2 linked regions of the Schizosaccharomyces pombe genome follow. The protein of the gene in region 1 interacts with the protein of each later gene in a biochemical or structural test. Each region holds a gene or a part of one and is shown in the gene's direction. Other genes may lie near its edges.

Region 1 (3,930 bases):
GACAAAGCTAGAATGGTTGACGTCTTTCCAGTACCAGGAGAGCCATAAAACAACATGTGAGGTAAGTTATTAGATAAAAGTGTTTTTTTTAATACTTGTACAGTAGATTCTTGAGAGGAAACTTGGTCCAATGTCTTGGGACGACTACATACGTGTTAATGTTATTGTTCTTAAAAAGTATTCTCTATTTACATACTAAAGCTCAACCCAAGGTATTGATTTCTTTGCTTCCTGCTCCGTTTTCTTATTCCTTGGAGCAAAGAAAGACATTTTTTTTAAATTAGTATACACGAGATATCGCAAGTAAAAAAAAAAAACACTGACGGTACCTACTACGAAATGGTAGTAAGCAATGCTTGTTCTTGCTTACATACTAGGATAACGTATTGTAACGATTTGTACCATAAACACATTGAGTCGCGCTAATAATGCGTTCTATATTAATGAAAATGTTGGAAGCAAATATTATCGTAACATTAAATGTAAACAAGATTAGTTATGTAATTCGATAACAAAAGCATATGAATGTATGATCAAAAGTTAGGTAGTGATGACAGATGGTCTGGCAGCTTCTGTGTTCACTTGAGCATTCTTTCCAATGGGCGCTGTAGATACATTACTTGTCATGGTTTTGGGCTGAACGAATGCTTGGAATTGAAGGAGAAGAGTCGAAAATCGTGAAGAAAAGTCATATTTTTCATCCAACGGTATGTCGCTTAATTTAACAAGCAAAGTAAAAAGTGAATACAACTTGGTTGATTCTAATAGTTCAGAATTTATTGCGCTGAAATTCTCAATCATCTCCAATATTTGGTGCACATGAGACATATCCGATTCTTGAGGATAATGATTATATGACAGTAGGATTTCTTGTAGTTGGTAGCGGTAATATAAAAGAGTATTAAATCGAATATAATGAACTTGAGCATACATATCTACAGTACTTATAGGCTGAGCCAATTGATATTCAAGTGAAAATTTTGGTAATTCCTCTAAAGAACCGGCAAACCTTACTCTTTTTTTGGCTGTTTTCTTGGGAGAAGGAATTGGAGATGGGGATTTCTGAGCGTTGTCTGTAGCCATCCTAACTCGAGCTGACCTACGTGAAGGTCGTTGCTTCGATGTTTGAGAAATTTCTGCCGACGATTTCTCATTTTTTAACCTTTTACCCCCGTCAATTTTAGGTGTGGCTTCTATCTTTTCCTTTTTTGGTTTCTCGATGGGCTTTTGAAGTTTTTTACGAGTATTCTCTGGTTCAAACTCATCCTCTTCGACATCAGAAAAAGAAACTTTTCTCTTTACGGAAGCAATGATGAGACCTACCGTCTTTTGGATATACTTTGTCGATAAATCATGGTCCAAAATAAACCTTGATTCATCAACAGTTAAGGGCAAAACATTTGAAGAAGAAATAATAGCGTAATCTCTTGAAGGAAGAAACTGAACAAATATTCCATTGTCCATTCGAAAATTTCGTTTCAATCGTTCGCGTACCTCAGTGGGTATTGATTTTTGGCTCGCTACTCTGGCTGGCCACCATGGGAAGCTACTCATCTTTGCTAAAACATATTCCCCATTTTTATATGATTTCCTTGGTGACGTCCTCGGAACATACGCTAATTGTTTACCTTTCTTTTTAACATCACGCAGATTTTTCGTATTAGAAGTCTGTTGCCCGGTGGCCTTTTTTTTTGTTTTAATCTTCTTCTGGTTATTAATCTCTTCAAGCTTTCTTTTTTGACTGCGTGTCCTAGCAACCATCATCGTTAATTACATTCCTTATAAGCCAAACTTCACATTAAAGCGATATAGTGCTGAATTTTTCCAAAGAGATTTTACATCAATTTGTAAAGGTTCCACCAAATATTAGGATATACAAGTAGAAACCGTAAGACGCTTGTCTATTATCAATTAATTGCAGCAACGCTTACAAGATCTACAATAGCAGAGGGGGGGGGTGCTAAAAGCTTGAGCTGTTGCAATATGATACCTCGATATTTCAATATCATTCCTCATACTAATTTTTTCGATAGTATATATTTCTTTCGCAAATAAATCTTAATAAAGAGGGTTAAACTAAATAAGACACGTTAATCTTATCGTTATTCTACAAAACGAGTTACTGTATTGTACTTTAAAATATTGATAACGAAGCTTAGAATGCTTTGAGTATATTTAAATGAGTATAAGACGCGCAACATGAAAGCATTTCTTCGCCATCAACATGTCAACTGGTACGTATCCTTATAAAATGTTCAAAATGGATGTTACTAACCTAAATAAAGTAGAAGATGTGGAAATAGAAAGGCTTCGTGCTGAAAGAGAACTTTTGCGAAGACAAAAAGAGGCAGCGAAGAATTCGTCGACAAATGGAAGTGTAAATATTGAAGGTACCCAGGATTCTAATGATTTACAATATAATGCTCATCTTTTTAAGTCCAGTAACCCAAAAGAAGAATATGACTCCGCAATTGACGTGCGCAATGATATCTCTCAGGATGAAGACGATTATAAACGTACAAACGATGTTAATGATAGTTATCGTTTAGTGCGTCAATATGAAGCACCTAAGGAACTACTAAATGAATACGCTGATGAAAGTTATGACCCTATGCAAGAGAGACAGTCAAAAAAGCAAATTCAGGATCGCGAGTCAGATTATCAAAAGCAGCGTTATGATAGACAGCTTACTCCAACCCGCGTAGATGCTTTTCAACCTGATGGGACACAGAGCAATGGAAGATCTTATGCGGAGGTTATGCGGCAGGTTGAATTAGAAAAGGAAGAGCGACGAGTTCATATGGAATTAAATCAAAGACGTCGTGAAGGAACACTAAAAGAGGTGGAGGAGGAGGAAAGCATATCGGACAAAAAAAGAGAACTAGAGCTTAATAATACGGAAATATCTCAGAAGCCTAAACGCTCTCGTTGGGATCAGGCTCCACCTAGCGTTACGCAGGTTTCCACTACTAAGCGTAGATCACGTTGGGACAAAGCTCCTGAAAACTTCACTATATCTGAACATGTTATAGAAAACGGAATTTCTGAAGATCTTATTAATAAGGAAGTAAATGTAGTAGAAGAAAAATTACGACCTCCTGTCCGTTTATTAACTGAAGAAGAGTTAAATGAGCTTTTGCCGTCAGAAGGCTATGCTATTTTGGAGCCTCCTCCTGGATATTTAGAATCAATTCATCCTGAACTACTTCAAAAAGGTACTACGCTCGATACATATCACGTTCCACAAGAGCAAGAGCTTCCTTTAGAAAAAGAATTACCAGCTGCATTGCCTACAGAAATACCCGGTGTAGGTGATTTAGCTTTTTTTAAGCAAGAAGATGTTAAATATTTTGGCAAGTTACTCAAGGTGGAGGACGAGGCCAAGCTTACAATTGCGGAACTTCGTGAACGTAAAATTTTGAGATTACTTCTGAAAGTAAAAAATGGTACTCCTCCCATGCGTAAGAGTGCATTACGCCAGCTTACGGATCAAGCTCGCGACTTTGGTGCAGCTGCTTTATTTAATCAGATTCTTCCGTTGTTAATGGAACGAACACTGGAAGATCAGGAGCGCCATCTTTTAGTTAAGGTTATTGATCGTATATTATACAAATTGGATGATCTGGTTCGCCCTTTTACTCATAAAATTCTCGTAGTTATTGAACCCCTTCTTATTGATGAAGATTACTATGCACGTGCTGAAGGTCGGGAAATCATTAGTAACTTAGCTAAAGCTTCCGGCTTGGCTCATATGATTGCTACAATGAGACCTGACATTGATCATGTCGACGAATATGTCCGAAACACCACAGCCCGTGCCTTTTCGGTTGTTGCCTCTGCACTAGGCGTGCCGGCTCTTTTACCTTTTTTAAAAGCTGTTTGTAGAAGTAAGAAATCATGGCAAGCCAGGCATACTGGCGTTCGGATTAT
Region 2 (3,930 bases), on another chromosome or scaffold:
GTAAGCAAGAGGCAAATGAACCTTTGTTTCCATATTTAATGGTGGTGTTATTCGTAGAGATTTTCCAATTTGCAATTTTGATTTCTGAAAGCTGTTAAATACTTTGATGCGAAAATTTTCCAATTTGGATGGAATAATCAACTCTATTTCTATTTCCGTTCACAAATGTGTTAAATAAAAAACAGTAGCATGAGATAGACTCCTTCTTAGGAATTTAGGCGGATCGTGAAGTTAAGAGACTCTCAAGGATGATGAAAGGAAGAATCTGTACAAAACAAAAATCCTATATAAGACAATGAATTTAAAAATGATTACCAACTGATAAAAGTATCCAAGGAGAACCAAATACAAATATTTAACCTAAAGATGAAAGAGTGAATGGAATACAGCAATCAGTAAAAATGAGCAACCAACTATACATACCAACTAGAGGTTAAACTAGTTTCAATATATTGGGTAAAATAAATTACTTAATATACTCTTTAACCATTGCTCAGTTTCGGGCATAGTTCATGCCTTAGCTTAATTCTCCTTAATTAGATACTCTACATTCAATCTTTCCATGTATTCACGTTGGGGTATCCCATCGCTTGTATTTGGACAACCATATTTTTTAAATTTTCTTTCAAAATGTAAGATTTATTTGCTGTCGGTTTCTAACTTCATTACATGCGTATAACCATTGCTCATCCTAAAAACAATTATCCCAGTATTAAGTATATCAAATTATAAAGCAATACCAGAAAAATAATGCCAGCTATTAATACTATCACTGTTAAATCGAGTAAATGGCGAAAAAATACACTTAAAAAAAATAAAAATAAATATACACATAAATAATTTTCTCTTTCATTTGGCATTACTAAAGAATTTTCGTTTTTTGGTTTTCTGCTAAGTCAATATTATTGGTCGAAGAGCGCAAAAACATAAACATTATAGAAAAAGTATAACATTATGTAAATTTCAATTATGCTTTTTTTTTTTTCTTTTTTGGAATGGAAATAATGGCTTTTCTTAATTTATGTACGCTCTAAATTATCTGACTTATTACATTCTATTGTAGATGACTGTTTAACAGACATTTGAAAGAGTACCTTACTAGTAATCAAGAATTGTGGATTCCAAGCCTTAACCCCAATAGTTATTTACATAAAAAAAGAAATATTGTAAATAAAAAGAGCTAACTCGCCTATTCGCCAATCAATAAAATTTTTTATCGTCTTTTATTTCTCGGTTTTCCGATATTATCTTTAGTACAAAAGCAATAAAAATTCAGCAACAATCAAAATGTAAGCGGTGTTGAAAAAATTACTTATATACCAGTGTTGATTATTTTTCCGAGTTTTACTGGTTAAGTTGAAGGTCCAGTGTAGGGAACCATAATTAAATTTTAAATAACTGAAATAAAAAATGAATATTACTTCTAAGATTTATAAATTGCACAGAATTCAGGTTGCTTTACCGACTTAACTGGCAAATTCATTGCTTTTTAATAAACCCCATATGACTTGTATAAATAATCATAAAGAGGTTAACTATAATAATGTAAATTATATCTAGTAGTGAACTAATATCATATGCATAATATATATTGCTATATAAAGTAATTTATGTCGTTTACTTGCCTCATTAAAACTCTTCGTGTACATATCACAACACCCAGTTTTTGATGTCTAGAAGAACACGATCAAGGTCGCCTCCAAGGCGATCCTACAATAGAGAAAGAAGAGATTACCGAAAATATGATGACTCTGAAGATCAAAAGGGTGCACGGTATAACCGATACGTAGACGATGTATCAAGTCGACGAGATAGGCATGATTCTTTTCGTTCTCACGAGTCTAATAAAATTAGAAGAGATAATTCTTGGAAGCATGATAAGTATAGTTACGAAAAAAGGTATCAAGAGCGAGATCGAGAGTATGCGAGATCAAAGAATATTCCCGATCAGTATATTGGTAGGTCACCGCGACCAACATCTCATAGACATGCTGAGGAAAAAGAAGTAGACAATAAAACTAAATCAGATGAAACAAATCCTGTATTACAAGGTTCCGCAACTGAAATAAAGCCTCAGCCTAGACGTTCTCGATTTGATCGAACTGAGAGAGTTGGTGCTTCTTTAAGTGTTTCAGAAATTCAATCTGAAAATCCACGAGTTGATGTAATTCCCAAGGATAAAGCTGTTGAAAATAATCATCAACGAAATGCTGAAAAGCCAGTAGCGTCAGACAAAATTACGGATGCTAAGCTACTCGCCAGGCTAGAACGAGTTAGAGCGTGGAAAGAGTCAAAGGCAAAACAGGAGGCTTCCAAGAAGGAGGAGCACAAGTTGAATACAAAGCCGCAGGTTACAGCCAAAGACCAGAATGCTATGCCTTCAACTGGTATATCCGGGTTTGAGATTAATCGCCAAAAAGATACTTCGGATATGAAGCGAAATAACCGAGTTCACATGGATGATGAAGATGGTCCTAGGCGTATGAATCTTGAAGACTACCAGGAGCTTTGGGACCAAGAAGACCGGGGTATGCTAGGAAATGAGCAAGCAGCTAGCATGGAGGAAGACGAAGTAGATCCTTTAGATGCTTACATGGCCTCTTTGGTTGGTACCACTGATACCATAAGGCCTGGTTTATTAAATACGGAGGTCATTGATCCGAATGCAAACGATGACGAGCGCATGGTAATTTCAGAGACTTTGGAAGAGGAAGAAAATTTACTTGCTCTTGCTGCAAAACGATCAAAAAAGAAAGACGTAATCACAGTTGATCACTCAAAAATAAATTATGAAGATTTCAAAAAGGATTTCTATGTTGAACCTGAAGAGCTCAAAAATCTGTCACCAGCTGAAGTTGATGAACTACGGGCTTCTTTAGATGGTATTAAAATTCGTGGTATTGATTGCCCGAAGCCAGTTACTAGTTGGAGTCAATGTGGTTTATCTGCCCAAACCATAAGCGTGATCAATTCCTTGGGATACGAAAAACCAACCTCTATTCAAGCACAAGCAATTCCAGCGATTACTTCTGGCAGAGATGTAATTGGCGTAGCTAAAACAGGAAGTGGAAAAACCATTGCTTTTCTTCTTCCTATGTTTCGACACATCAAAGATCAGCGCCCATTAAAAACAGGAGAGGGTCCTATTGCAATAATAATGACTCCTACTCGTGAATTGGCTGTGCAAATTTTTCGCGAATGTAAACCTTTCTTAAAGTTATTGAACATTCGTGCGTGTTGTGCATATGGAGGTGCCCCTATTAAAGACCAAATTGCTGATTTAAAACGCGGTGCAGAAATCGTAGTTTGTACTCCTGGACGTATGATTGATGTTTTAAGTGCGAATGCAGGACGTGTTACTAACTTACACCGCTGCACTTATTTGGTTTTGGATGAGGCCGATCGTATGTTTGATTTAGGATTTGAACCGCAAGTCATGAGAATTATTAACAATATTCGACCTGATCGGCAAACCGTACTATTTTCAGCTACCTTTCCTCGTGCTATGGAAGCCCTTGCAAGGAAAGTTTTAAAGAAACCTGTAGAGATTACGGTTGGCGGACGGTCGGTTGTTGCTTCTGAGGTTGAGCAAATCGTTGAAGTACGGCCTGAGGAAAGCAAGTTTTCTCGGCTATTAGAGCTGTTAGGTGAGTTGTACAACAATCAACTTGATGTACGTACACTTGTTTTTGTGGATAGACAAGAGTCTGCGGATGCACTTTTGTCGGACCTTATGAAACGCGGGTATACAAGTAATTCAATTCATGGCGGTAAGGATCAACACGATCGCGACTCAACCATCAGTGATTATAAAGCAGGAGTATTTGATGTATTAATCGCAACTAGTGTAGTTGCTCGTGGGCTTGACGTTAAATCTTTACAGCTGGTGGTAAATTATGATTGCCCTAATCATATGGAGGATTACGTGCA

Evidence for each region.
Region 2: the proteins of prp10 (region 1) and prp11 form a complex in vitro, tested with the Schizosaccharomyces pombe proteins (one study listed by BioGRID).

The regions. Positions count from the first base shown.
Region 1 is NC_003424.3:4,335,082-4,339,011, reverse strand, and holds the start of prp10 (U2 snRNP-associated protein SF3B1), read left to right. Parts: upstream 1-2,207; 5' UTR 2,208-2,224; coding exon 2,225-2,234; intron 2,235-2,285; coding exon 2,286-2,390; exon of another isoform or gene 2,391-2,456; coding exon 2,457-3,930. Other genes in the region: DNA replication factor C complex subunit Rfc2, read right to left, coding at 1-144, 197-270; pdp3 (PWWP domain-containing protein), read right to left, coding at 541-1,764. UniProt on the Schizosaccharomyces pombe protein: Contacts pre-mRNA on both sides of the branch site early in spliceosome assembly.
Region 2 is NC_003421.2:517,871-521,800, forward strand, and holds the start of prp11 (ATP-dependent RNA helicase Prp11), read left to right. Parts: upstream 1-1,641; 5' UTR 1,642-1,669; coding exon 1,670-3,930. Other genes in the region: rad16 (DNA repair endonuclease XPF), read right to left, coding at 1-33. UniProt on the Schizosaccharomyces pombe protein: ATP-dependent RNA helicase involved in pre-spliceosome/complex A assembly and mRNA splicing. Bridges U1 and U2 snRNPs during pre-spliceosome assembly and enables stable U2 snRNP association with intron RNA.